Linked DNA regions of Macaca mulatta. The protein of the gene in region 5 interacts with the protein of the main gene of each other region in a pairwise test. Links are inferred from orthologs where the notes say so. Each region holds a gene or a part of one and is shown on either strand. Other genes may lie near its edges.

The links.
Region 1: the proteins of ATXN1 (region 5) and PHPT1 interact in binary tests that used the Homo sapiens proteins (3 or more experiments, as listed by UniProt). The link is inferred for Macaca mulatta from reciprocal best matches to the Homo sapiens genes ATXN1 and PHPT1.
Region 2: the proteins of ATXN1 (region 5) and DCTN3 interact in binary tests that used the Homo sapiens proteins (3 or more experiments, as listed by UniProt). The link is inferred for Macaca mulatta from reciprocal best matches to the Homo sapiens genes ATXN1 and DCTN3.
Region 3: the proteins of ATXN1 (region 5) and KLHL12 interact in binary tests that used the Homo sapiens proteins (3 or more experiments, as listed by UniProt). The link is inferred for Macaca mulatta from reciprocal best matches to the Homo sapiens genes ATXN1 and KLHL12.
Region 4: the proteins of ATXN1 (region 5) and ZNF488 interact in binary tests that used the Homo sapiens proteins (3 or more experiments, as listed by UniProt). The link is inferred for Macaca mulatta from reciprocal best matches to the Homo sapiens genes ATXN1 and ZNF488.
Region 6: the proteins of ATXN1 (region 5) and ZC3H10 interact in binary tests that used the Homo sapiens proteins (3 or more experiments, as listed by UniProt). The link is inferred for Macaca mulatta from reciprocal best matches to the Homo sapiens genes ATXN1 and ZC3H10.
Region 7: the proteins of ATXN1 (region 5) and ATXN2 interact in binary tests that used the Homo sapiens proteins (3 or more experiments, as listed by UniProt). The link is inferred for Macaca mulatta from reciprocal best matches to the Homo sapiens genes ATXN1 and ATXN2.

The regions. Positions count from the first base shown.
Region 1 is NC_133420.1:5,617,239-5,620,930, forward strand, and holds PHPT1 (14 kDa phosphohistidine phosphatase), read right to left. Parts: upstream 2,180-3,692; 5' UTR 2,158-2,179; coding exon 1,998-2,157; intron 1,616-1,997; coding exon 1,491-1,615; intron 1,188-1,490; exon of another isoform or gene 1,126-1,187; coding exon 1,068-1,125; intron 876-1,067; coding exon 841-875; coding exon of another isoform or gene 783-840; 3' UTR 608-782; downstream 1-607. UniProt on the Homo sapiens protein: Exhibits phosphohistidine phosphatase activity.
Region 2 is NC_133420.1:65,076,544-65,081,075, reverse strand, and holds the start of DCTN3 (dynactin subunit 3), read right to left. Parts: upstream 2,849-4,532; 5' UTR 2,823-2,848; coding exon 2,727-2,822; intron 1,114-2,726; coding exon 1,029-1,113; intron 325-1,028; coding exon 238-324; intron 1-237. Other genes in the region: ARID3C (AT-rich interactive domain-containing protein 3C), read right to left, coding at 3,816-3,916, 4,378-4,467. UniProt on the Homo sapiens protein: Part of the dynactin complex that activates the molecular motor dynein for ultra-processive transport along microtubules. Together with dynein may be involved in spindle assembly and cytokinesis.
Region 3 is NC_133406.1:60,555,888-60,559,659, reverse strand, and holds part of KLHL12 (kelch-like protein 12), read left to right. Parts: intron 1-268; coding exon 269-427; intron 428-738; coding exon 739-837; intron 838-1,591; coding exon 1,592-1,778; intron 1,779-2,350; coding exon 2,351-2,477; 3' UTR 2,478-3,772. UniProt on the Homo sapiens protein: Substrate-specific adapter of a BCR (BTB-CUL3-RBX1) E3 ubiquitin ligase complex that acts as a negative regulator of Wnt signaling pathway and ER-Golgi transport.
Region 4 is NC_133414.1:61,498,572-61,502,343, forward strand, and holds part of ZNF488 (zinc finger protein 488), read right to left. Parts: intron 2,692-3,772; 5' UTR 2,532-2,691; coding exon 1,560-2,531; 3' UTR 1-1,559. UniProt on the Homo sapiens protein: Transcriptional repressor. Plays a role in oligodendrocyte differentiation, together with OLIG2. Mediates Notch signaling-activated formation of oligodendrocyte precursors.
Region 5 is NC_133409.1:166,497,639-166,502,038, forward strand, and holds the start of ATXN1 (ataxin-1), read left to right. Parts: upstream 1-1,595; 5' UTR 1,596-1,723; intron 1,724-4,400. UniProt on the Homo sapiens protein: Chromatin-binding factor that repress Notch signaling in the absence of Notch intracellular domain by acting as a CBF1 corepressor. Binds to the HEY promoter and might assist, along with NCOR2, RBPJ-mediated repression. Binds RNA in vitro.
Region 6 is NC_133416.1:63,267,200-63,271,752, forward strand, and holds the start of ZC3H10 (zinc finger CCCH domain-containing protein 10), read left to right. Parts: upstream 1-1,661; 5' UTR 1,662-1,714; intron 1,715-2,490; 5' UTR 2,491-2,554; intron 2,555-3,590; exon of another isoform or gene 3,591-3,944; 5' UTR 3,945-3,996; coding exon 3,997-4,553. UniProt on the Homo sapiens protein: Specific regulator of miRNA biogenesis. Binds, via the C3H1-type zinc finger domains, to the binding motif 5'-GCAGCGC-3' on microRNA pri-MIR143 and negatively regulates the processing to mature microRNA.
Region 7 is NC_133416.1:118,649,898-118,653,669, forward strand, and holds part of ATXN2 (ataxin-2), read right to left. Parts: intron 3,231-3,772; coding exon 3,085-3,230; intron 2,449-3,084; coding exon 2,221-2,448; intron 41-2,220; coding exon 1-40. UniProt on the Homo sapiens protein: Involved in EGFR trafficking, acting as negative regulator of endocytic EGFR internalization at the plasma membrane.

The DNA.
Region 1 (3,692 bases), on a different chromosome or scaffold from region 5:
TGGCCGGAGGACCAGTGAGCTGACAAAAGGTGGGGATGCTCTGTGTACAACCAGCCCTGGCCCCCAGGGTGCCCCTGCACCACCCCACGGAGTGCCACTGTGTCTGGGGCTTCCCAGGGCAAGGCCTGAACCCATGCTGTGCCCACAGCCCTGCCGGGTGCAGGAGGGACCTGGGAGGGGCCCCCAGAGTTAACGTGAACCTGCAGGGTAGGTGCAGCTGTGGGACCTGACCCTGGATACTGGCAGGCCCCATGGGGCTAGTCATGGAAGGAGCCTGCAGGCCAAGCCTCAGGGCAGACGGCAGACAGGACACTGGGGAGCCCTTGGATGGGTTCACAGGAGGGAGCACTGGTGGGTGCCCCAGGTCTTGGCCAGCCCGAGGGATCAGGCCCTGACTCCAAGATGCCCTGGAGGACAGTGACCGTGGGAAGAGCAATCAGGCCATCACCAGGGCCCCCTTATCAGACCCCAAAGGGCTGAGTGTGCATGGCCACTCCCTGGGGCCACTCCTGTGCTCCCCCACCCACCTGCTTTAGTTAGGGTCTGGGGGGCCCTGGAGGTGGTGACGCACGGTGCGGAAGCCAAGGACAGAGTTCAGAGACTGGGAGGCGTGGCAACACGTTTAATTCTGTGGTCAAGCTAGCCTGTCTGCAAAGCCTGGCAGACGGCAGGTCACCAGGGGCTGCCGCAGAAGCAGGCAGGGCCAGCCCCGAAAGGGGTGCAGGCAAAGGCGGGGGCTCTGACATGGCTGCTGGAGGTAGCAGGCCCCAGGCTGGGAGTGCTCAGTAGCCATCGTTAGCCCAGGTAACCTCGTAGTCGGGGTACTTGGCTTTGATTTTCTCAGTTGAAATGGCGTGCTGGGCAGGACCATAGGCCTGGAGAGAGAAGACGCCTGCTGGCACCACCTGGACCCTTCGACCCCATGCCCTGGCTCTGGGCATCCAGCCACCAGCCACACCAGAAGCGAGTGTGGGAAAGGGAGAGAGTGCCTGGGGGTGCCAAACCCACCATCCCGACTGCCCTTGGGGGCTCCCCTGGGGAGAGGCGACCTCCACAGGCAAGCAAACCTTGAGGGTGGATCCTGGGGCTTGAGGCACCCAGAGGGACGCACGTGGCTCTCATCTGCTGGTGGTTTTTGTGAAGAGCACGGGCGGGGACTCTGAACTCCACCCAGGTACTGACTGCCTCTGGGGGCCCAGGGCGCAAAGTGCTGGAGGACAGCTAGAGCCCAGCAAGGCCTCCGGGGGCAGGGAGAGGGAACGGCAGGCCATGTCTGGGGGTCTCCCTCCCGCCCCTCAGGTCTGGCATGTGCTCCATGGGGGAATGCAGGAACACAACTGGCCCTGGAAGGAGGGCTCTGCCGCCCACCCTGGGAGAACCCCGGGAAGCCTGCGTGCTCATCTGGGGCCACGGGTCAGGGCAGCAGACTCAGGTGGGCCTCGAAGCTGGAACCGGGGCCTCCAGCAGGGCGGGACGGGGCTGCGGCTCACCATGGAGTAGCCGTACACGTGAATCTTCTTGTCCTGGCTCTGGTGGGAGATGCGCCCGCCGCCCAGACACTCACAGTCACAGCCCTGCTTCTGCATGTCGCCCGACACTTTGTCGTAGATGTCCGCTGGGATGGGAGGGCGACCTCAGGACGTGCCCTGGCCGCCCTTGGAGGCCGCGGGAGGAACTCCCGGCCGAAGAGGTCTAAAATCCCAGCTCTGAACAGCCTCTTCCCCAGAGGAGACGAAGCCCCTTGAGGCTGGGACAGGGATGAATGAGAGGAGGGTGGAACCGGGGCGAGCTCGGGGACTGGGAGACTGTCGTGAGGCGGGGGGTGTCAGGCTGGGTCACGCCTTTCCCGCCCAGGACCTGAGCCTGGCTCAAACCTAGCAGGGGCAGGGCTGGGAGCAGAACGCAGTCGGTGGCCCGCAGCACCCACCCCGGCCCGCCAAGCCCCGCCCCCGCCTCGCCAGCCCCGCCCCTCGCACGCCGGCAGGCCCCGCCCTCACCATGGTACTCGGCCCACTTGTAGCCGCGCACGATCTCCTTGCTCTCCGCAGCCGGAGCGCCGGAGCGCGGAGCCGAGTGGACTCGGATCAGCACATACTTGAAGACACCGTCGGAGTCGATGTCCACATCAGGAATGTGAGCGAGGTCCGCCGCCGCCATGTTCTTCGTCCCGGAGGCCCCTCCTCCCACCCGACCCGGGGACCGCTTGTACTGCGGAAGGCGGGCTCTGGGAAAGCGGCGACCAATCCCGTCGGGGAATGCTGCCCAAGACCCAGCGCCTCAGCCAATTGTACCGCCGACCGAGGCACGCGCTAACCAATCGCAATCCAGTTCCTTGCCGCCTTGCGGCCCTGTCAGCCCCACTAGCCCCACTTAAAGGAAACGTGGAACCGGGAATGGGGGGTGATTAAATCCAGCCAACGGAAAAGTTCCTCTCCAGCGGGGTCCGGTGGCACCCTTGGAGCTGGGCAGTTAGGCGGCCCGCGAAGCTGGGGCAAGGAGGGAGGCCTGAGGGACGTCCCAGCCCTGATCTCCCGTCCCGCACGTAGTCCGAAGACCACCCTCCCCGTGGCCCCCACCGCCCGAAGGCCTCCTCCTCCCCCCTCCACCGTCCGAAGGCCTCCCCCTCCCCCTTCCACCGTCTGAAGGCCTCCCCCTCCCCCCTTCCACCGCCCGAAGGCCTCCCCCTCCCCCCTCCACCGCCCGAAGGCCTCCCCCTCTCCCCTCTCCATTGCCCGAAGGCCTCCTCCCCGCAGCCTCCATCGCCCGAAGGCCTCCCCCTCTCCCCTCTCTATCGCCCGAAGGCCTCCCCCTCCCCCCTCCACCGCCCGAAGTCCTCCCCCTCTCCCCTCTCCATTGCCCGAAGGCCTCCTCCCTCCAGCCCCCACCGCCCGAAGGCCTCCCCCTCCCCCTCCAAAGCCCGAAGGCCTCCCCCTCCCCTCTCCACCGCCCGAAGGCCTCCCCCTCCCCTCTCCACCGCCCGAAGGCCTCCTCCTCCCAGCCTCCATCGCCCAAAGGCCTCCCCCTCCCCCCTCCACCGCCCGAAGGCCTCCCCCTCTCCCCTCTCCATCGCCCGAAGTCCTCCTCCTCTCAGCCTCCATCGCCCGAAGGCCTCCCCCTCCCCTCTCCATCGCCCGAAGGCCTCCCCCTCCCCTCTCCATGGCCCGAAGGCCTCCCCCTCCTCCCTCCACCGCCCGAACGCCTCCCTCTCTCCCCTCTCCACCGCCCGAACGCCTCCCTCTCTCCCGTCTCCACCGCCCGAACGCCTCCCTCTCTCCCCTCTCCACCGCCCGAACGCCTCCGTCCCCAACCCCGCTACCCGCACAAGGAGGCAACAGCAGCCACTACATTCAAGTTCTATTTTACTTGGTTCGAAAGCTCTTGCCTCCTGGAAATTATTTCGGTCCAGGGGCGTTCCTGGCCGGCCCTCTGGGGTGGGGCCGAATGCAGAGGCCCTGGGGCAGGGGGCGCGGGGCGCGGGGCGCGGCGGCGGGTGGGCAAGCGGGACGCCTGGCCGGTGCAGACGCGCGGGGACGAGGTGGGCGCGCCGGGTGCGGGAGCGGGGGCGGGGGTGCCCAGTTTCTCTCACTTGGTGTCCCCTTCCCTGGCTTCGAAGTAGGGCTAGGGACTCCAGGAGGGCCCTTGCGTTTGGCCTCCACCCCTCTCCCAGACACCCCACCCTCCAGAGAGCCCCG
Region 2 (4,532 bases), on a different chromosome or scaffold from region 5:
TAGCTCCCACTATGGCTGGCACCATGGCCTGCAGCTGGCCCAGAGGTATACTGTACTCAATGTCTACTAGAGGATCCACTGGATCCTCAACCCAGAACCAGGCCACAATTCCAGAGAGCAGCATCCAGGGGTTGTATCCATCAGAAGACTGGATGGGGAGGCCATCTCTGTGCCTCCCCATGACCTCCCCAATGACCCATATCCTCAGATGCATGTACACATGTAGTCCAGCATTACCTGCTAAGATGAATTGCAGCTTAGAAGCATCAGGTATGGCAATGCGGTCGATGTACTCCGGATCCAGGTACTTGATCAGATCTTCAACTAGAAAAGTAGCGAGATGGGAAATGGAATAGGGTTGGGCAGTAGAACACTGCCTTATGAAGGATGTTTGACAAGTGGTCAGCCTTGAGGAGAGCCTTCAATGAGGAGCTGATACCCAACAGTGCTGCTTGAGCAGGGCTCCACCAGGCTCCTTATCCCCACTTCCCTATCTCTCCACTCTCTTCTCTTGAGGTCTCTTCTGACATCAAGCTTCAGAGCTGAAAACACAATTGCCACCACCACTCTGGGCCCTCAGCATTCTCACTGACCTATCCTTATCAAGGGTAGAAGGCCTCTTTTCTCCTAGATGTCAACAAGACAAGCCAGAGCTTTGTCTAATTTCTAGTTACTAAGCAGGTTACTAGCTCTGACATAACCAGGCTCTCAGTGTCTAATTTGTTTCCTGCCTCTTAACTTTGCCTGGGAAATCCCATACCCTTTCTACCCTCCTTCACCAAGAGAAGCTTTCAGGTAGAGCTCTTACCTCATAACTAAGGACACTGTCATGGGCTTGAAGTTTAGCCACAAGGTAGAAAAGCACACCCCAATTTACCAATCGAATTGGGTGCAGGTAAATGTCCTCATAATCTTTCTATCCCCAAAGGGCTATTCCAGTGACTTAATGAACTGAAAGGCTAGGGCCAGGTCCCAGGAAGCCTAGGGATGGGATGTCAGGCAGGCAGGCACATCATGGAAGCACTTACTCTTTTTGTAGAGAATCTTCACCCTCTCCCTCTTGCTGGCAATGTTCCCCAAAGCCACCTGCACCTTGACCAGGCCGTCAGCCACCTGTAAGGGAAGTGGTGGTTAATTCCAAGATATACTACCTGGCTCAAGGCTTGGAAGAGCTAAATAACCCTCATTCTCCTAGACTGTCAAACCTGAATCCCAGTAATCTAGGTTGGCCTCCCTTCTCTAACATTAAAAGAGATGCAGCCCCACCTTCCAGGTATCCTCAAAGTGGAGACAGAGAATCATGTACTCCTTGGGGAGTTTCAAGTCTGATGGGGAAGATAATGAACTATTTTAGAGTCTATGGAATATATAGTATACACAATATATTTTCTGGTTCCTAAGCCCTGGGTTTGGGCATGAGAAATGCAAGCATCCTCATTCAAGCCTTCATGACCTCTAGATTGGCTGGCCTACTTCTAGCCCTATCCCCTCCACATCAAATTTAGTGTGAGGGATGGAAGAGTCCAAACAACTGGGATCCCAATGATGGTACAATCACTGACTTAGAGAATACAGAAGAGAATCAGGTTAGGGGAGAAAAAGAGTACAGTTAAGAGCATACAGATTGAGTTTGAGATGACTATTGGATAACCAAGTGGAAAAATCCAGTAGACAACTGGACATGAAAGTCTGGTTCTCAGAACAGAAATCTGGACCAGAGATATACATTTGAGACATATTGACATGTAAATAGTAATTGACACCATGGAAGCAAGTAAGCCTACCTAACGTTTAGGGGTAGAATGTAAAGAATCCCAATATTAAAGGGTCAAATAGAGGAGGAGACTAAGGAAGTGACTGCACTCACCCAGTTTTTAGAGTAGAGGATGAGGAATGCCAGGGAGGAGGCAAATAACACTGAGAAGCAGTAGTTAAGAGGTAGAAGGAAAACCAGGAGGGTCAGTGTCATTGATTCCAAAGGAAGAGAATGTTTGAGAAGTTAGTTCTGAAATGGGAGCACAGTCTGCGAGTGACAACTAATTCCTCATTTAGTGTACAAACAGACATCATTACCTTGGACGCACTTAGCTCCAGGACATGCCTGACACGCAATTAGAAGTTCTTCAGTAAAAGGTCTTCCCGTAGTAGAAAGGTGAGGAGAGAGCACCTGAGCTTCGTAGTTGTCAAAATTCTGTCACTGGTATAAAGCAGTGCTAGTCCACATCTGAACACCCAGTACCCAATCTCTTCCCTTCCTAATCCTGGTCCTTTCAGACCTCACCTCTCACCCTTCAGAGCTTTCCTTATCCACCTCTGCTCTGCCTCCTCATGGGTCCCATGGACCTCTTCCTGCACAATTCATTTAGCAATTAATTACGCAGGGCTCCATGACGGGACTTCCTATCGTGGACTTCAGCTTTTATTGAAACTCTCATTAGTCAGCTTCTCGAGTGTGTCAGGTCTCCCCAACTACAGCCCGCGAGGGCAAGGGTGGAGTCTCAGCCACAGTAGGTACTGAGCCCACTCTCAGGCTGGCTTAACCACCCGCCGTGCCCCCTATGACAATGGACCCCGAGGGTCCAATCAGCTCTGGGAGGTTCCAGACCTTTGTTATTTCAAAGGCCGGGCTGCGGAGAACAGGACAGGAGCGGTTGCATCCCGAGGGCCGGGACAGTGGACCGCTCTTGCTCTGTTCCAGAAAGGGACCACCGGACCAGACTACTCACCTTCCGCGAGCCGCGCGCCCCGCCCGGCCCGTACACCCAGCGTTCCAGCTCTTCCACTCGGGCCTGCAGCCGCTGCACGTCAGTCAGACCCGCCATCTCCACTAACGACCCACTTCAGCCGGGAAACGGCCAGAGGGTGGGACGTCCGTCCAAATAGGAAGGCTAGCCAATCCGAGTGCACGAGCAGACCTTTATGCAGGAAGTGACGTCATGATTCAGCCCTTCAGTACCCGAATTTACTGCTTGGAGCTGTGAAAAGCTGATTACCTTGGCAACGGCTCTGTACCAGCCCTCCCCGGCTTCCAGCGCCTGGTTGTCAAGACAACCTTTGCTTTTCGGGTGCCAAAGAGCTTTCCCCACGCCATTCCCTGAGTTTGCACGTGTTCCAGGGTAGGTCCATTCCCATAGATACATCATTAGAAGGCTCCGTGAGTTACCATAAACTTTTGGAGTCTTCTAAAGTTCAGTTGATTAAGTAACTTGCCCAAGGTCACCCAGCACTATAGGGACAGAAATGGGGCTTGAACTCAGGTTGTCTGATTCAAGAGACGGAGCTCTTCTATTCTCACGGAACTTTGCTATTCTGCCTTCCCCTCTGAAAGGCCCTGGCCCAAGGCAGCCCATGTTCCACATCATTCCTCCCCACCTCCCATACCCAAACAAGAAAGGAGGCATCAGAGAGGGAGGGATCGCAGCTTTATTGTCTAGATGTGACCTGAGGGATGTCTCTTTCACAGTACCCCAACCCAACCTTTCACTTGGCTCCTGAAGAGAAGCAAGGCTGACTCAAAGGGGTAGGGTTCTAGAGATGACATTGACAGAGGGGACACATGAGGAGATGATAGTGGTTACTGGAGGAAGAACACTTTAGTAGATGCTGCTGGAATTGGCCGGGGAGGAGGTGCCCTCCCTTTACAGTGAGGTAGGTGTAACATCAAAAGAAACTTTGGTTTTAAGTCTACATGGCATGGGAGGTATGGTCCCCTCCCAGGGCTGGGTCCCAGAGTGGGCAGCCGGAAAGAATCAAAGCAGAGGGACTCCTCCCCACTCAGCAATGGGGCTGGGACTCTTAGTTTCAAGTAGGACCTCTTAGGGGAAGGTGCTGGAAGGGGGCCCTGTAGAGGGTGGGGGTGCAGGGTTGGTTGGACCCTGGGAAGCTGGCACAGGCTGGCGGCGGGCAAAGAGGACACCTGGCAAAGGGGTGAGGAGATGGTAGAGGGCAAAAACAAGCAGGAGGGGGTAGGATATGGAAACAGAAGAGGGGAACAAAAGTAAGTGTTCTGGTTGCTAGAACACTACACACGTACCCCTGCCACAAACCAATGAGGACAAGCTCCTTGGGTCAGTAAGAGACTCCATTGCTAATGTAGATACCCTCAAACAGGTAAACAATAATATTTATGCTGATACATAGGCCCATGACAAGGCAGACATCCCCTGGTACTCAAGCCAGAGAGGTCATGCCTTGGATCCCATGCCATGTAGGCACCCCCTTTAACCCATGCCAGTCTAGCAATCCCCTGAACCCCACGTTACCCATGCAAGCTTAGATATCCCTGAACTTCATGCTAGTAGAGGAAGTCTAAAATCCCCATGCCAGCCTAAATACCCCTGACCCCATGCCAGTGTAGACAGCCTGCAGTACCCATACCAGTGTAGACCACCCCGTTGATCTCTAGGGCCATGTTGATACTGCTGATGCCACTGCCTGCCAGATTAAGAGGCCCATCCAGCCGCTCTTCTGTCCAGGAGGGGGCAGAGGAATCACATTTTGGAGAATCAGACTTCAGACTTATTAATAGAATT
Region 3 (3,772 bases), on a different chromosome or scaffold from region 5:
ATCAAGTTCCAACGTGCTAGGTGGGGAACTGGCACTAGTTGTATTTTTGCAAACTCCCAGGTGGTCTTTGAATGCTTTTAAGGATTTTATTTTACCCCATTCTTTTTGGATGTCTTCCTTGTCTATAAAACTTAATTGACTTATCTCATTAAAAAATACTTTGTTTTTGCTCCCAGACTTTTAAAGAATCCTTGGAAAATTTGTAGAGGAAAGAGTTCTTAGAAATCTGTCATTCTCTAATAGTCTGTAATTTGTTTATTCTGAGCAGATATGATCTATGTCTCTGGGGGCTTTGACGGAAGCAGGCGTCACACCAGTATGGAGCGGTATGATCCAAACATTGACCAGTGGAGCATGCTGGGAGATATGCAGACAGCTCGGGAAGGTGCCGGACTCGTAGTGGCCAGCGGAGTGATCTACTGTCTAGGTATCGAGTCTGGGATGCAGGAATGGGAGAGAACTCAATGGGTAGTGGACTGTGAGTAAGGATTCCTTTTTACTAGGATGAAGTTCATAGACTTCCCTTCAACTAAAACCCTGGTGTGTGTTAATATATTTTCCATTAATTGGGATTATCTTTTTCTTATAAGCAGAAAGTAGGGTACTGTCAGATTTCTCTTATGGAACTCTTGGGGGAAAATTGAAACTAAAATAGTTAGTTGAAGCACTCAGAGAAAGACCGACCAGAAATGGGCATGAGGATTTACCACTCTTTCTGGAATGATCTCTGTCTTCCAGGAGGATATGACGGCTTGAATATCTTAAATTCCGTTGAGAAATATGACCCTCATACAGGACATTGGACTAATGTTACACCAATGGCCACCAAGCGTTCTGGTAAGACTAGATCTGAGGGAAGGGACAATAGATGGTACTGTCAGACATTTGCATATATAATGGTGGTGCATGGGGCAAACTGTAGATTAATGTAAAAATGAGATTCTGCTCTCCTCCTTATCTCTGTTTTCTCTAAATATTAGTGAAGATAAAGACAGTTGATACTTAACAACTAGATTATACATTTGTAAGCAAAAGCCTTCATGTCTTTGTTCTCTCCCTACTTTTTAGAATATCTAGTACAATTTTGTCTGTGTAGTACATGTTAAATAAATGTTAAATAAAGTCTCTAATGCATAAGGACAAAAGAGTAGCTACTTACCTTCACCGAGAACTTTTTGAAGTGGAGCAGGCTGGGATGTAGAAAAGGAGAAAACACTGTGCCGTTCTGGTTTACTTATTCTGGGTAAAAATTGCTTCAGAGGCATAATCACAACTCCTTTCCCTCCATCAACCTTTATTGCTGCCTTTTTTTTCTCTTCCTCCCTTTCTCCTAATTAGAAGGGTTGGGCTCTGAGTTAATGAAAGTAAGGAGAACAATTGTTACTTACCTTTTATCATTTCAAGTCCGAGCCAAAGGGTTTATAGGTGGAATAACTTGTGCTGGACTAGATTATTCTAGGCCCGTATGGACCCAGTCCATATCTCTCATCTACTCTAGAACTCAGCTAGTCATTAGTGACGATAGTTTATTTCTGTAATTCAGATTCTAGGCTTAGTACCATTCGTTTGCTAATGCCTTCATTTTCCCCAGGTGCAGGAGTAGCCCTGCTGAATGACCATATTTATGTGGTGGGGGGATTTGATGGTACAGCCCACCTTTCTTCCGTTGAAGCATACAACATTCGCACTGATTCCTGGACAACTGTCACCAGTATGACCACTCCACGATGCTATGTAGGGGCCACAGTGCTTCGGGGGAGACTCTATGCAATTGCAGGGTGAGGATTTAGAAACTAATCCAGACTCAATATGTAGCCAGAGCCAAGAGTCTATGTGATCTGATCCTCATTTTTGGATGGAGACAAGACTTGGGTAGGGGTAGATATCTCCAGTGGCAACCTGATATTTTTTATTAGATTTTTTTTAGTTTTTAGAGACAGAGTCTTGCTCTGTCACCCAGGCTGGAGTCTGAGTAGAGTAGCTGGGACCACAGGTGCATGCCACTGTGCCAGACTAGTTTTTTATGTTGCCTAGGCTGGTCTCCAACTCCTGGGCTTAAGCAGTCCTCCCACCTCAGCCTCCTAAAGTGCTAGGATTACAGGCGAGAGTCACCATGCCTGGTCTCCAGTGGCAGCCTTAATGAAGGACTTGTGTGGAAAGGAATAGAAGGCGAATTTCTTTCTTTAAATTTTATTGAGACGGGGTCTCACCATGTTGCCTAGGCTGTTCTCAAATTCCCTCCTGGACTTAAGCAATCTTCTTACCTCAGCCTCCTGCATAGTTGGGATTACAGGCACGTGCCACTGCATGCAACTGACTGATTTCTTTCTTTTGCTTCTTTCCCACTCAGATATGATGGTAATTCCCTGCTAAGTAGCATTGAATGTTATGACCCTATCATCGACAGCTGGGAAGTCGTGACATCCATGGGAACCCAGCGCTGTGATGCTGGTGTGTGTGTTCTCCGTGAGAAGTGACCATTGTTGGAGCACCATCCAGAGCTATTCCAGTCCAGTGGACAGTTAGTGGGAGAATCAAGAATCCTTTCCAGAATGTCTGTTTCTCACTATGTGCACAGGTTGATTACAGGCACCAGTGCAGTGATGATTGTACTTATTTGACACATACTCCCCCTCGTCCTGGGTCTTGCTCCTGAGAAGGGTGGGTAACAGATACTCCAGAGAAAAGAATGCACATTGAATGGATGTGAGAGACCACATTGCCTCTCCCACTGCTTTGGGGAGCATTTTCCTGTCATTTCTAACTTACCACGTGCTTGGTGTACTATATGTATGTTGTGCCTCATATGTTGCAAGGTGAGTATAGCCTACTAGATGTGGGTAATATCCAGCCTAGATGATTGGAAAGATACCAATTTAAGTAAGCTTGGTAAAATCCAAGTCTTTTTTTTTTCTTTTTTTTCCAGGAACAACTACATTTTCTCATCTACAGGTAGCTAGGGGCAACACAGTTCCATTGTAGAGGGAAACCAAAGGGAGAGCCCCACAAAACTTTGGGGGCAAGGGAGAGAGAGACTCATCTGACACTTCTTTTGGAGGTCAGGGTTTGTATATCAGAATTGAAGTTAGAATAAGTGAATTAAACTCAATGTGATGGAATGTGAGTGAACCTAGAACAGCACTGAAGTATGACATAACCTGGAAGACTGAGAAGGGTATATTATTTGAAGGATCTTTTTATTTCCCCAAGGTCTTTCGCACTGGAGACAGCATAAAAGAGTGAACAAATGTTGGGATAAGAGAAGATGACATCAATGTGGGAGTTCACTATAACTGGGGATAAACTAGAAGTACCTGTGATTTTACAGTCGTCTTATTACCTGCCAGGGCTTATCTAGCCATGGCAATGTTTGCCTTGAATGGGGGTGAAAGCCTTTCTTTGTTGAATCAAATACTACTACACTATTACACTTCCACACTATTTATTTGGGGATGGGCTGGGAGTGACAGTAGCCTAGTAGTTCAGCTACCTGATTGCTGCCCCATTCTTTTAGAAGCACACTTCTGCCAAGGAGTGGTTTGTACTGCTGTGTTTGGTACATTTGGTCTTTTTTTCTGGTATAAGTTTTCTTTACCTGTCCTTTAGTGTAGATTTTATTCATCATAGGACAGAATAATCAAGGACAACCAAAATCCTTTTGTTAGTTTCAGTACCTCAGCTAGCAGCATTTCTGAGCTATCATTCAATGTTCCTCCGTGTCATGGAGTGAAATTCTTGTTTTATGGGTATTGGGAGTGTGGGAATGTGATAA
Region 4 (3,772 bases), on a different chromosome or scaffold from region 5:
GGGCAGCCACAGGGTTGGAGGCATCATCTGAGTTACACGTTCAGAAGATGATCTGGTTGTGTGCATGTGCGCAATGGATGGGTGCATGGCGAGAGGCAGGAATGGAGGCAGCGAGGACATCAGAGCAGCCAGGTGGGAGTGCTGCTGCCTGGAAGGGTGGACAGAGGAGGGCAAGAGAAGAGGTGCAGTCTGGGAGGCTGGCTGAGATCCCCACCTGCTCACCCTGGCTTATTCCCAGCCACAAGCCTGAGCTCTGTGCTGGGGGGCTGGAAACTGCACATCCAAAGAACAGTATCTGACAGTGAGGTGGAAACCAGTGCAAAAACGACACTGGCTTGGAAACTCCCCACAAAGGGCTTTCACGGAGACTGACCTGTGCAATGTCAAAGAGTACAGCCTGGGCTCCACACATCCTTAGGAACAAGGGCCGATGCGGGTACCTACAATAGCTACTGACCGAAATGCAGTAGATAATAAATGGTACCTAGAATGCTCCCCAGCTTCACAATCTGGAAGCCTAGTTTTTGCACATGTCCTATTCTTGGAAGGTAAAAGGGCATGTGTGTAGGTGGTGGGGAGGGGGTTCTATTTCCCTCTACTCATATACTCACAATGTAAAGAACTATGGACCAGGTGTTGGCTGGAATTACCTATTCCAATTCTTCACCCTCCTGTGGAGGGGATGGATGCTCACTCCCGTGTCACAGCTTCATCAAGGGCAGCCTACGCTTTTCCACTCCTCAGTATTGGGCCTGGTTCTGCCACTTGTATGGGCTGAGAGGACGTTGGCAATGCAAACCAAGCAGAGGCTTCAAGTGTGCTTGTTAGACTCACCCTCTTGTGTTCTTGGCATAACCGCAAAAGAAGCATGCCCGCTCTGGGTAGCCCACCAGCCGAAGAAGAAAACGAACATGACTTGATCAAATCTGAGACTTGCTGCCAAGCCCAGCCAAGCTCAGCTTAACCTGAGCCAACCCACAGACTCATGACTGAGACAGATGCTTTAGCTTGTATGCCATGGAGATCTTGTTAATGACAATAGCTGACTAGTACAGACATCATCACAAACCTCGTTGACTCAGTGCTCAGGGTCTGCAGGCAGAATGCTGGCCACTTTCCGCACGCCTTTCATGTGACCTGAATGCCAGCCTGACACACAGTGTTATCATCTCCACTTCACAGACGAGACAATGGGGACTCAGCAGGTTAAAGCTCTTTGTCCGGGGTCACAGCTGGTATGTGAAAGAGCCCAGATTTGAATCCAGGCTTGGGTGCCTCCAAAGCCCATGATGTGTGCCAGGAGTCGCCCCCGCTTCTGTGCTTGTTAGGGCCTTTACCCTGGATTTGCAAAGCCCATCACTTTATTTCAGGACTTCATTTCCCTCAAAACACATCATGTAGGTGTGGCTTTTTCAAATTATGCCTGAGCTGTTTATCTATGAATGTCAAAGGTGGCAGCTCTGCAAAGGACCATGACATCCCCCTCAAGGCAGGCCCAGGGAGGCCCCTTCTGCCAAAGGCTGGCTGCCGCACCCAGCAGGTCACTCTGCGCCCACCTGCTAGCTGTGAGAAGTCATGTGCCGGGAGAGGTGGTGGCGCTCCCGGAAGTGCTCCTGGCACACAGGGCAGGCGAGGGTCTCTTCTCTCTGCTTCTGAGAATGTGTATCAGGCCCTGCATGCTCCTTTTTGTGGTGGGACCGCATGTGGAAGACCAGGTCGGACGTCAGGCGGAAGGACAGGTTGCACTTTGCACACCAGTTCTGGGTAGACAAGCCCAGGGAGGTGAGGGTGGGTGGCAGGAGGGCCCAGGAAGTGGTGGAGGATGACGAGGGTGGGGGCACCTGGGCCTGGGTGTGCTCCAGCCACAGTGTGGGGGCACCCAGGAAAGTGCTGCAGAGTGGAGCATTCTGTGGCAATGCTTGCGAGTTCCAGAAATCACCAACCAAAAGCTTGGGAGTTGAAAGTCGACCCCAACAAGCGAGGTCTGCGGTGTTGAGGAGTCCAGACAGCTCCCCCAGGGTGTCTGCACATTCCCCTGCAGGGAAGACTGAGGTTGGCCCAGGCCTCTCTGCTGGTCGCTTGGTTGGTTTGCTAAAGGCGCTTCTCTGCTCACCTCGTGCTCTGCTGGGCCACACAGAGAAGACTTTGCTGCCGGCTGGGCCTCTGGGGACGTCCTGGGTCAGCTGCAGGACGCCAGGCTGGCCTGTGGGGTCATCGTGCTCCCTCTCCCGGGCCTGAGGATCCACCTGCCAGTCCTTCATCCTCGGCAGCTCCGTGAAGGCGCTCTGACTCTGCTCCCCACGCGCCTTCAGGGGCAGTGGCTTGCCAGGCAGGGGCTTGCCTGGGGCTGCCAACAGTGCCAGCTCCACACTGCCCACATCCCGGCCTGCCCTGCCCACAGCAGCCTCGGGGCCCAGGCGGTTTGTCTTCTCCAGCAGCACTGGCTTGCAGCCCCGGCCCAGCTCAGGTTCGCTAAGTCGCCATCTGTTTTCAGCCGATGGGCTCAACGGGACTCCCTTCCCAGCTGCCATGGTGATCACCAGGGCCGGGGCCACAGGATAAGCAAGGTGGCCACTCTGGCAGCCATCAGTCTTTGCGGGTTTGGGGTTCTGGAGGGCTTGGCCCAGCAAGGAGCCATGAGATGTGGAAGCTCCCTGTGACACTGGGCTGGACACACTCGGCCACAGGGCCCTGCAGAGAGAGGAAGTGACAGGCAGTGAGATGGGCATCCATCACTCAGGCACAGTGCATCATGAGCTGGCATCAGACAGGACCCTGACGCTCAGGCCTCCTCCGTGGTCTGTGGGATGGGTGTGCTGACCACACCACCTCTGAGGAGACAAGGAGCATGGATGGCACCGTCCTCCAGGGCCCACCTGCCTGAGGCAGAGTGGGGACAGGGGTCTCTGCTGAAAATGCCCAAGGGCAGCGGCCCCTATAGCTCAGCAGAGAGAAATGTAGGATTCCCCTGTCAGAAGTGGTTCCTGGGGACTAACCAGCATGAAATGGACAGTCTGGAGGTGAATGGAAAGAGCCTGCTCTGGGGACTGCGTTAGGGCCTTAGGGGTCCTCCAGAAGTTTCTGGGTCATCTGTCAACAAGTAGACTCCATCATGAGGAAGCCACGTGCCCTCAGCCCCTGCTCCATGCTCAAGCTCCCTCTGGCCCTGGCTGAGTGTTGAGGGCACAGGGAGGCTGCAGCATTAGGGCCGATGTGTTGGAGGATCATGGACTTCATGGTCTTTGCTCCTCATGCAGCCCTCTCTGTCCTGACCCTAATGTCAACCCATTGCTCCTCGGGTTACCAGACCTGCCTCCGGGCCTGGCGGCCCCTTTGTCCACATCACATTCCCTGTCAGCTTCTGTATGGTCTCCGATTTTCTCAGAGCCATGCTTCTTGTGAGAGTCATGTGTCCCCACTCTTCCCCCAACTCCCAAGTACATGTGGACGGCTTTATTCTCACCATACCTGTGAACTCATTCCAAAATGCACCTCAGGCACAGCCTCCCCTAGAGGCTTCCCCAGTGCTCTCAGACACAGATAACACTCCCTCCTCCATGCCACCACTGTCCTGGGCACCAAAGGCCTGCATGCACCACGTGCAACATTGTATTTACTTGTTTGTGGTCTGCTAGAAGGCAAACTCTAAGAACCCAAATATGTCAATTCACCTTCACATCTGCAGTACTTAATCATGCATGCAACAGGACAGGAGCTCAGGAAGCCTTTGCTGAATGAATGAGTGAATGAATGACAGGACAGCAACTGTTAG
Region 5 (4,400 bases):
TTTTGTTGATTCTTGATATGCTCATATCCATTTTGTGTTGCAGTGATTCTAAGATCTGTATTACTATGTAGACTTTGTAAACAGGTAAACATGTTTAAGTGTTTTTTTAAGATATGGCTGTATTAGCTATAGAAATTCCTCTCTTCATTTTTGTATCTTTACTTTGGAATTCACACATGCCTTTGGATGTTATCATCTGACTTGTTTCTAATGAAATGTAGCCACTTCGGCAGGACATGGATTTTAGGTTTCTGCTTAGTGTTTTGGCATCTGGATTTGGGATTACTTAGCATTTTTAATTTACGAAAATAACCATCAACTTACACTCAATTGAAATATGAACATGTTGGTTTTAGTTGAGCTTGGGAATTAAAATCAAAGTACAGTCAAATCCAAAACAAATAATAGTAATTTTAAGACTTAGGTGACATAACCCTCTGGGGAAAATGAGGTGATATTGATGTGATGCTTTTTTTTTTTTTTTTAAGACAGAGTTTTGTTCTGTCACCAGGCTGGAGTGCAGTGGTGTGATCTCAGCTCACTGCAAACTCTGCCTCCCGGTTCTAGTGATTCTCCTGCCTCAGCCTCCCCAGTAGCTGGGATTACAGGTGTGCACCTCCATGCCTGGCTAAGTTTTGTATTTTTAGTAGAGATGGGATTTCACCATGTTGGCCAGGATGGTCTCGATCTCCTGACCTCGTGATCCACCCACCTCAGCCTCCCAAAGTGCTGGGATTACAGGCGTCAGCCACCACGCCCCGCCCCGACATGTTTTAATACTAACTACAGAAGTGTTGATAGCAATATCAGCTTTGAAGCGATGGTATAGTACTAGAATCCTAAGCATGACCTCTGTAAATGGTTGGCTTAAGTGCTGGCTTTAACATCTGTTGGCTGTATTTACTCTCAGTTTTCTTGTCAATAATGCAGAGGTAATCATGATTCCTGGCTACCTCACAGACTGCAATGGAGTGGGGCAATGTGTGTAAAACCCTCAGTCCAGGGCCCAGAACATAGTAAATGTTTAATCAATGTTCGTGATGACCTTGGCCATCGCTGATACCATGTCTTAACTGAGTTATTAACAAAGAGGCATGTGTAGTTTCAAAAGTGAAAGTCAGGCCAGAATGGTAAATACATGCACTGAATTTGCATAATTGTGTGGCTAGAAGGAGTCTTAGAGAAAGAGAGCATCAAATTCAGCATTGTTTCTGACATTTTCTGTGAAGAACTGACTGCTTTTTATTTCTTAGAAATCTTAGAATCATTAAGCAGAGAGGGAGGGGCAGGAACAGGATTATTTTGATAGTGGTGTCCCTAAGGTGAGGAGATGGGGTGGGAAGCAACCCCTGGCCAGAACCCACTCATCTCTGGGGATAGGAACCTGCTGTGTCTCTGCCTGCTGAGTTTTTGACATTGTGATTTAAAAATCTTGTGTGTGTGTGTGTGTGTGTGTGTGCACGCTTGTGTGTGTGCATGTGTGTATGAGAGAGATTATGCAATATGATGTTTCCCGTTTCTGTGACATCAGCAAATGTGAATGAAGACCACAGAAGCTGCCTAACTCAGTGGGAATATTGTTTTTATAATTACAGGTCTAGGCATTTTACATTGAGATTCTCCACTGCCACCCTTTCTACTCAAGCAAAATCTTCGTGAAGAGATCCGCCGCAAGGAACTGATAGCTTATGCTTCTCCATTGTGATGAAAGCACATGGTACAGGTAAACGTCTCCAAAATCTTTAAAGGAAAATAATTATCACTGAGTTGTAAAGTCCCCAAGATAGTCCCCAAGATACATATCTGGTTACATATCTGGTTACACAAACATACACACAGAACATAAATATGTATCTATTCACGTAGACTCCATTTCTCCCTACTGTCTCTTTTATAAAAATGAAACCCTTGCTTTTTTGTGGGAAAGGAAGTAACTTCTACTTATTTTGAGGTCACTGGTTAGGATAGATGACGAGGCGTTGCTGATAATTCTGAAGGCAGTGTTTATAAATTCACCTGGAGAGACGAACATCAAATGGTAGTAGAGATTGTAGAAGTAGTAGAGATTATTAAGAGTCTTGTTCCTCCTAACAATGTAATTCTGAACATCTTTCATAGCAACAGATATTTTTCTACAGTATAATTATTAATGATTGTATAGTATACCATTGAGTAAATATTCTAAAATTTATTTAATTTATATCCCTTCTAACTGGACAGTTAGTCGTTTCTAATTTTTTGCCTTTTTATTTTCTTGAGATAGGGTCTCACTCTGTCACCCAGGCTGGAGTGCAGTGGCATGATTTTGGCTTTCTGCAACCTCTGCCTCCAGGGCTCAAGTCACCCTCCCACCTCAGCCTCCCAAGTATTAATAGCTGGGATTACAGGTGCATGCCACCACACCTGGCTAACTTTTGTATTTTTTTTTTTATAGTGAAGGGGCTTTGCCATGTTGCCCAGGCTGGTCTCAAATTCGTGACCTCAAGCAGTCCTCCCACTTCAGCCTCCCAAAGTGCTGGGATTACAGGTGTGAGCCACCATGCCCAGCCATTTTATTGCCTTAATGGTGCCAAAAATATTCTTATAGCTCTGTGTTAGTTCCCATTGCAAATTATTTCCTTAGGCTAATTTCTTAGCAGCACACTGGTAAATGTAAGAGTTTTCAAGTTTTATGGCTTTTGGTAACTTGTTCCCAAATTACTTTCCAGTAAAGTCATACCAGTTTGTATTTCCAGAGGCAGTTTATGAGAGTGTCTACTTAATACAATTTTCCAATGCTGGGAATTTGGAAAACAAAAGGAGTTTTTGCTGACTGATTATGCAAAATGGTGTTTCCATGTATTTTGGGTTTTGGGGTGGGGGGGTCATTTGTAAGTAAATTGTACTGTTTTGTAGAACCTTCCTCCATTAGACAGTAGCATCTTTGAAACTTACCAGATTTCGACATTTCAGAAATAATATTAAATCCAGAAGTAGTGGAAGGGTCCTAGGGAATTTTAAGTTCTTCCTTTCTGGCCAAGTATTTTTAGACAACTATGAAATCACTAGATAGCAATCATTTTTCAGTGGAAAGCATAATGTTTCATTTCTTAAAAAGAGTGAAAAGGTATTTAATAAAAAATCTTTATTAGACATGTATCTGAAGTTATACTGCTCATTAGTTTAAAAATATGTATGTGCCTATATATGTATGTGTGTATGTATGTGTGTGTGTGTGTGTGTATATATATATATGTCCAATATCGGGAGCATGATTAAATATAACTATGTTAGTGCCATATGATAGAAAAGCTGTAGCTCACAGTAGATAAGACTGCAAGCTTCAGGCTGCCTGGGCTCAAATTCCAACTCTGCTGTTTTTTTGAAGTGTGACATTGGACAAGTCACTTTGCATGTAAAATTCAGATAATAATAGTACCCTTCTCCCTTGGGTGTTGCTGCAAATAATATATATGAAATGTTTAAAATCGTTAAAGCTCCTATTTCAGGAGTATTTAATCATTTTAATATAGAAGTAAACAAATGTAAGGTATTGGCATAAACCACAGTATAATCCTAATCTTGCAAAATTACTTTGCTTCTTTTTCCTCCCTCTTTTCATCCTCCTCTAGTATCTAAAAAAGGGTTTAGCATACTTCTGAATGGCTTTAATTTGTATTAGTGGAGTAATCCCAGTCCTGGAGAGGCTGCCTGATTGAAGTCTTCAAGTCAGAGACTCATTTTTCACAGAGCTTTGAAACCATAGCTGTCTGGATCACCTGGCTGGGGGAACCCTTGGAGCAGCCGTTGGTTAAGAGCAGAGCTTCCTTCCCACCCGGGGCTGCCTAGCTCCTGTGGTACAGCAAGTGCCTTGGGCACAGAGAGAGTCCCTCACCGTCTGGCACCATATGTGAGCTGCCCTAGTTGGCTCATCTCTTTCCGTCATTACTAAATAAGCTTCATTTCACTAAATAAATGAAAGAGAAGGTAGATGAAGAGACCCCCACACCCAGCTCTTAGGAAATGCATGCTTTATGCTACAGATGAACGAAGGGGAGGGCTGTAGGGTTGTGAATCTCTTGACCCTTTGGCTCCATCATAACGCTGAAAAGTGAAAGGAAAAGCAGTCAAAGAATCATTTAGCATGAAGGAGACAAACGCAGAATGACTTGTGTGTCTTCAGCCTCTGCCTTTCACTGGTTACCCTGCAATGAGCTTATGTATGTAGAGGCTGCATTCGTTTTGGCCCTAATTTCTGGTCTAATTTGAACAGCTCTGTATTTCTCAGCAGAAGAGGAATATCTGAATTCCTAATTAAGACATGTTAGCTTAAGAATACCTCCTTAATGTGTCATAAATCATTCCCCTGTAAGTGACTATGAGGATGAATAAGAAAACAAAACTTGGATTTATACACACAT
Region 6 (4,553 bases), on a different chromosome or scaffold from region 5:
GACGACACCCGGCGCTCCATTAAATAGCCGTAGACGGAACCTCGGCTTTCTCTCGGCCTTAGCGCCATTTTTCTGGGTGAGTGTGTTTGCTTCCTGTGATCGGATTCCGCGTACAATCCGTAGACATCTGACCTCGACACTTACCATCATCACACCAAACTAACTGTAGCCTTTCTCTCCTTCCCTGTAGAAACCTCTGCGCCATGAGAGCCAAGGTGAGCGGTTCCTGGTAGTAAGCTTGGGAGGTAGGAGTTGGCGAGTAGTAGGGGGAGACTAAGGCAAGTCCGCCATACCTCCTGAACTACTGGGTTTCAAGGGTACCAAGAGCTGGTGGGAGAGGAAAAGTAGTTTGTAAGAGAGCTAGCGGTTAAGTGCTATGGGTAGAGAGGGTGGGAATTAGAAAAGGGTGGAATTCTGATTTTATGTTGCGAGGGTGTCCAAGTTACTGATGTAGTTGCTACGACCAATCTCATACTTGGTTAAGAATCTGCCCGGTTCTAAAGAGTGCATTTCATATCCCTCCTAAGCCTACTAATAAGCTTTATCTCTCTTTTTTTTTTAAAAATTATCTGCTGCTTGTGAACGGTTGCTAGTGGAGGAAGAAGCGAATGCGCAGGTATGTTGGAGACTTTGCCAGCCCAGGAGGAGGGAAGTTCCTTGGACAAAACTTAGCAGAAACATTTGGTTTGGAAATCTTAAAAGATCTTCAGGAGAAAAATGTTTGAGTATTTTCTTCCTAGAGCAAAGGATAGAACAGAGGACGATAGAACCGTAGTGCTTGTTCATTTTACCACCTCATGTTATGTGCACGTTTGATTTAATGTAGGAGGGAAAGAACTCTGGTTTGAGAATAGGTGTATTCCATTCCTGTGTCTGCTTTTCAGGCTGAAGCGCAAAAGAAGAAAGATGAGGCAGAGGTCCAAGTAAACCGCTAGCTTGTTGCATCGTGGAGGCCACAGGAGCAGAAACATGGAATGCCAGGCGCTGGGGATGCTGGTACAAGTTGTGGGACTGCATGCTACTGTCTAGAGCTTGTCTCAATGGATCTAGAACTTCATCGCCCTCTGATCGCCGATCACTTCTGAGACCCACCTTGCTCATAAACAAAACTGCCCATGTTGGTCCTCTGCCCTGGACTTGTGACATTCTGGACTATTTCTGTGTTTATTTGTGGCCGAGTGTAACAACCCTAAAATAAATCACCTCTTCCGCTCTTTTAGCTGAAGAATTAAATCGTCTTGTCTATTATGTTTTTTATGGTTCCATCGGGTGGGGGTTTTCTATCATTACAGTTTGCCCTGTCACTGCCTGTGCTATGGAGGATATCAAAGGCAACAGCCCGGGTTATGTGGTGTGGTTTGCATGGAGCTGGATGGGATATGATGTATCTTTGGAGGCAGGTTTTAGATTTCGCGGGTTATTTGGGGCCAATGCTGGTACCGCCCCTACCTTCCAGGAGGCCTCCCTTGACGACTACTGCTTAGTAGACTACATCGCGCCTTTGGGTTAGGTTGCCATGGTGACACGCAAAGCGTGGTGGGAACTTCCTGCGGCATGTCGCACGCCTACTTTGTACACCATAGAGTATGGTTCCGGGTCTGGTGGCTAGAGCGTCACTTCTTCCGCAGGAAGCGGAAGAGCGATCGGGTGGGCGGCTCTTTGTCGAAGCTAGAGGACCGGCAGGCGGCAGCAGCAACTACGGCGGCGGCGGCAGGTGAGGGAGGCGGGAGACTTAGGTGGAGGCCGCGCCCGGAGGGGAGGAGTCGGGGCCGGCCCAGCGACTGGGCTCGGCTGGGCCACACAAGGCCCCCCAGAACCGAGCTGGCTCGTCCTCACACCCCAGCGCAGTGCCCCTTTTCTGACTGACCCCGCATCGCGAGCAAACGCCAGCTTCGTGACGTCACAACCCTGCCCATCCCCTCAGCTTGATGACACCTGGAGCCCCAGCTCCCCGCTTCACTTCGCGCGCCCTTAGTGTCCCTTTCACGTAGCCCATGGCTGAGCGCCAGCGGCACTGCACGGAACCTGCCAAGCTAGAAGACTTGCTGCGGGAAAACTCCTAGGACTTTTTTCGCAAACTCTAGGGTGTTGGGAAGCGTCACAATCACTGCCTCCAAGTCTAATCGGCCATCCCACTGCACTGTCAGGCGCTGCCCTTTTAAGGTTCCTCACTAGCCATTACTCCAATCCTTAGCCGGGCTCTGACCCTCACATCCTCTTTCATCTTGATGCAGGGCGTCCCGCACCCTTTGTTCACTCAGAGCTGGTTTTCCAACCCATGCTCCCAGTCCTTCCGAATTAGTTTTATCTCTTACTCTTCTTACTGGCCACTTCTCCCTTGGACAGGTGAAGTTCAGTTTGAACCCTGAGAAAATCCTGACGTTCCCTAAGCTTTGCCGTTTTGTCAGATTTCTTTCTTGTGACAACCACCCCATAGTCCTCCACTCTTACCCCTCCTTCCACCCAAGTCTCTGTTTTTTTCCTGCTCAGAACCCAGCAGTGATGTGGAGGTGGAGACCCACAGGAGCCCCGGACTTCACCTGAGCTACCTCAGGTATCAATTCTGGGAGAGTTGGGTGGGGAGGAGCATCATATCTAATTATCTGCTGCTGGTGCGACTTGCAACGTGAGCCAGGTTTGGATAGATGGCATTTGTACTTCACCTGGTCATTCCCTTTTACTAAAAGTTTGTATCTTTTACCACTTCTTTCCTTGATTGCTTCTATTATTCTGGGACCAACTCCCTTTAGAGGAGGAGGACCCTCTTACAGATTCTCATGTAACTGTGGTCTCTGGTTTGGTTCGTTCATTTTAGGGAGACCTAAAGGCAAAGTCACAGCAGTGGGATGGGGTAGGTCAAGGCCAAAGTAATCAGGAAAGATTCCCTTATGCTCAAAGGGAACAATGTGAAGTTTTCCTATTTCAGCGGCAGAGGGAGCCTGAACACCGCATAGGAAAGGCTTGGGAGGTCAGACACGTGGTAGCAGGGACTCCAGGTCTTACTAGGGGTGGAGAGAGGGGAGGGCTAGAACCAGGGCAGTGGACTGACATTCCAAAGCTCTCTTGGGAAATAGGAGACTTAAAAAGCTTTTATGGAGTCTATAAATAAAGAGGATCTTTATGGGTTGAGGAATGGTGTGGCTGGATGTCAGTGGGATCTTCACAGAGGGGAGTAGGAAGGGGGTGGAGAATGGGGAAAGGTCACTTGTTCCTGTGAAATTAACTCCTTCCCACCTTGATCTTATCACAAATGGTTTGTCCTGGAAATCTAGAAGTGGAGATTCTAACTTAGAACTCATACCCTGAAATAGAGGGGGCTGACCTCTCTGCCGCTGACAGTGATGGTGGGTAGGAGGGAATACTAAAATATGACAAGTTTTGAGACTCCCCTCAAGCTGGTGACACCAGTCTCTTCACCCAGGATTTCTTGGCTTCTAGAGATTTTATACGTACAGAGCCCTCACCTGAGGAAAAGGAAAAGGGGTTAAGGAAGTTTTGTTACCATCTTCTACAACCCTAGTAGCTCAGTAGTAGCCCATCTTGGGCACTATTCCCAGTTTCCTCCCAGACTGTTCACATACTGACTGCAGTTTTAATTTCACTTCCACAACTTTAATAAGGTCAGCTCAGAAGGAAAGATGAAATCCAACACTTATTTTTTCCCTGCTCCCTCCTGGGCCTATCGTCATTAGTGAAATTAGGTGGCTTCACCCCAACTCCTTCCCTCCTCTGTTAGCCAGGCAAGTGTGAATCATTCTGACCCAGACCAGGTGCACAAAAGCCTGGGCGGGACTTTTGATGAGTCAGACATTTCAGCCAGAATTCTTATCCCTTAGATTCTCCATCTCTAAAGCCATTGCCCCTCTGGGCCACCTGCTCTATAGTCAAGAAGAGTGGGATCTCCCTGGAGGACTCCTGTTTGATACAGTTCTCCTCTTTTGTAGTGGTCACCAAGAGTGGCAAGATAAAGAAAACCCCGAGTTGGGCGGGACCAGGATGCCTGACCGGGACAGCTATGCCAACGGTACCGGGAGCAGCGGTGGAGGCCCTGGAGGTGGTGGCAGCGAGGAGGCCAGTGGGGCAGGGACAGGCAGTGGCGGGGCCACCTCAGATGCCATCTGTAGAGACTTCTTGAGGAATGTGTGCAAGCGAGGCAAGCGTTGCCGATATCGCCACCCAGACATGAGTGAGGTGTCCAACTTGGGGGTGAGCAAAAACGAGTTCATCTTCTGCCATGACTTCCAGAACAAGGAGTGTAGCCGCCCAAATTGCCGTTTCATCCATGGCTCCAAGGAGGATGAGGATGGCTATAAGAAGACAGGAGAGCTTCCCCCACGGCTGAGGCAGAAAGTAGCAGCTGGCCTTGGCCTTTCACCGGCAGACCTACCAAATGGCAAGGAGGAGGTCCCTATCTGCCGTGACTTTCTCAAGGGTGACTGTCAGAGAGGAGCCAAGTGCAAGTTCCGTCACCTGCAGCGGGATTTTGAGTTTGATGCTCGGGGTGGAGGAGGCACTGGTGGGGGCTCAACAGGCTCAGTCCTCCCAGGACGACG
Region 7 (3,772 bases), on a different chromosome or scaffold from region 5:
CAGTTGGATGAGAAGGAACCATTCCTGACTGTACATGAGCCTGAAACAGAGAGCTCTTTTACGCATACAGGCAACATCTCCGGCTTCAACAACATGTCAACTGTGTTCCTTTCACTGGGCTGGGACTCTCAGGAAAGGGCAATGGTGGGCCTCAGGGCCCAGTTCTGTTCTCTGGGGACAGTCTCTAGTAGATTATCTGTTGACCTGAAGATGTGCTTCACCTTTGGGTAGATCCTGCAAGGAAGGGTCAGGGAGCAGGCACCAAGTGAGCCTAGGTAGAAGTCAGGGCTGTGCTGTCCTAGCCCTTGACATTTCTGATCATTGTATTCTACATATGGGGTAAGATCTTCACAAAGATTAGACACCGGATCCAAGGGTAGCTTTCTCAACTTAATATCATACAAGATTCAATGATGCTTCAGAATCAGGCTGCCATGTGGGGCCTGAGGCAATTTTGCAGATAACATCCCTTTCAAACAGGAAAGCAGATTACTACATTAATAAGCAGAGACTGTCACAGTCCAGTATGTGAATTACTTGGACCTCTGTTCATTTGCCTCTCTCCCTCTGCTTCTGGCCTGCTCACCAGGCAGTGAAAAGAGACTCTTAGGCCCCCGTGACTCTCTGAGAGATATGCTGATGGAGCAGGAGGAGTTGGAGTTTTTAATGGCTCCAGTGAGATGGAAAGGAGTAACCTGGAAGATCTGGGCCAGCCCAGTGTCTCTGTACCAAGTTCAACCTGGTCTCACTCACTGTCAAATTGGAAAGGTGATTTTAGTCAGCCCAAACTAGCTGGATTCCAGCTCTGCAGGGGGTTGGCAGGGCCAGGAAGAGCCCTTGTTTCCTTTTTCCCACACTGTGCACTATTCTAGATTATGATGAGCCTTGGATGAAATGCTGTTTTTACTCTCACGTATTCAAATGGGTACATGGCATATTTGAGCTTCCCTGTGTTAACCTTTTTGCCCTTTCAGCACAAAAACACAGTGAGGTATTAGGGATCCCTGACTTACATGTAAGTTCACATGCCTACTTAGCCACCAGCCTCTGCTAGACACCTACAGGACCCCAGCTCTTATGAAGCTGACTCCACCAAACCACGCTGGCCGCCACGGACCAAACCGGCTTCCCTCCCCACTATCAAAAAGCAAATCAACTGCAGTGCGCTACACCACAGAACCTAAACTTTGCAGGGTGAGGACGCCCAAACTTCCCAGAGCTGTGGAACTCTACTTACAAGGTAGCCTTCTGAGAGATAGATCCAACTGAGTCGCATCTCTAGCCCACACCTTGCCAGAGCCTCACTGGCGCACTATTTAACAGGAAATGGAATTCATTGTGGCAGGTCTCACTTAGACCCGCCTCAGAGAGTTCTGTTATGAAGTAGCAGAGACATCTAATACAGCCAATTCACCCGTAACAGCCCCAGGGAGGGCCTCAAGGCCAGCGTTAGAGCCCAACTTCAGTGCAGCTCCTTCTCCTCATTAAGACAATCCCCTGGGCCCTGGAGTGCAGGGACCTTGTCAGCAGCTGATGCAAACAGCAACCACGGAGATGGCAAGCACACCTTTCACCTGGAGCAGCTGACACTGGAGGTGAGCTCCCAAGTGCTTCCAGGGCTGCTCTTCAAGAAAAATGGGACCACCTGGGTGCTTCCAGCTTCTAGTTACACTGCACCAATGTCCAAGGCCAAGCCCTCTCAAGAGTACAACTTATGGTCAAAGCAGATATATGAATAACCAGGGAAAACAATTGGAGAGATGTGTCTGGAACTCATGTGAGTAACAATCAAGTTGACAGGCCCCAGTAGTCACCTCGGAGAGCTGAGACTCTGTGAAGGCCATCATCCCCGCCTGGCTTCCGAGGTAAGTGTGTAGAGGGGGATATATATATACACATATATAGAGTAGTGAGGCTATATAGACGTAGCAAAGCAGACACAGAAAGGAAAGAAGGACTGGGTTGCATTCCAGAGTCAAAGATATTTTTAAGGTCTCAGTTGGAAAACTAAAGGACTGACCAATCAGCACCTTCACTGATCCCATGACAAAACCACACAAACATTCCCTTAGGGCCAGATCACGTGTATTTGAGCGGGAAAGGGAGACAGGCAAATGGCATGACACACAGGGTTTCCTAGCTGGGAGAGCCTCTCGCTGCTTACTGATAACCTTCACATTCTACCTGGCCTTCACAGAAAGTTGGCTAAAGCTGGTTTACCTGAGGTACGTGGGCCATGTGGGGTGGGTTGGTATACGCCGGCTGAACGTGAGAAGGATGGATCGTAAAGACGGTCTGTTGTGCTGCTGGGAAACTATTCTGTGGCGACTGCGTGTTGGAGGCAGGTGTCATGGAGGGTGGAGTTGGTGCAAGCCCCGCGTGGTAAATGGCTGACTGCTGCTGTGGACTGGCCAGATGGAGAGCCTGGGCGGCCTGGTGCTGATGGTGCTGCAAAGCGACAGGAAAGAATTGAGAGGAAAACTTCTTTAATGAAAAGCAGCCAAGGGATACTCACAAAGCTGAGCTTTGCACACGTGGGCCTATGATGAGGGGCAACGGAAAGTACAGGGGAATGTACAGGATGGTAAGAGCAAGGCTGGAGGTGCCTCCCATCTGGACATTCCTTTCTGGGGTGCAGAAGCCTGATTCTCGGCCTGGCAGTTAGAAGCTTCTGAGCATACTAAAGTTAAACAAGACTACTGCCCCAGGGAACTGACAAATATCAAAGTCTTTACCTCCATTAGCAAACATAATTCAAGAAGCTCATAGGAAAATAACCTCATCACATAAACCTTAATTAAAATTTAAAAGTCCCAAGCAAATAGGAATTTGCCTTATGAACCTTATGCTAAATTTGATTTTTCATTAACGCAAGTTTCCAGAGCTTATCCTATCACCTATTATCAATATGTATCTTAAATGTGATTCTTAAAAAAAGCAACCACCCCAGGGGCACAGCTGTATCCATCTTCATGAGAGTGGACATGCCATGTGTTCTGACGATGCAATACCTGGCACCTGAAGAAAGCACTCAGATACTAGGATGAGGAAGCCACTCCATGCAGACCTCTGAGTTGCCCTTACCTGAACAGGGCTGGGTGCAGGATGACTTCCACCATGTTGGCTTTGCTGCTGTCCAGTGGGGGTAGCTGAAGGCTGAGGGTGTGGAGTATGTGGGTGCAGGGTAGCGTTAGGGTGCGCATACTGCTGAGCAAGGGAGCCCGTGGAAACTAAAGTGAAAGAAAAAGGAGCATGTACACACCGATGTGTGACAACCTGCATCGCTCCTCTACACTTCATCAACTGAACTTTCTTGATGGTTACAATGCATAACTCACGCCACTACCAATTTCTATAGGTGACTCCATTTAAATCATCCATTGTCTTGAAAAAATAAGTGTAGCTATTGCTTAACAGACTAGCATTTGGTTCATATAATACAGCTCTACATATGATATTAAAATCAAATTAGTTTGCTTTTACTCTGAACAGTCACTAGGTTTTCCCAAAAACACAACTTGAAGGCACAGGCAGAAACTACTCAAACAAGTGCATTTTAGGCGCACACTCTTTAGCTCAAGGCCATTATCTGGCTAACCTCACCATGCTACTGCCCTGGAGCAATGTCCTGAGGGCACAGACTGCATTGGGTGTGGTGGTGGTGGGGGGGGTGTGGGCACTGTGTATGGTATGTGGCAGGGCCAGGGATCTATCATCAGGGCCGAAGGCCCACAATCTCTCTCAGCTAATCACAGCAGCCCCTCTGCCATTC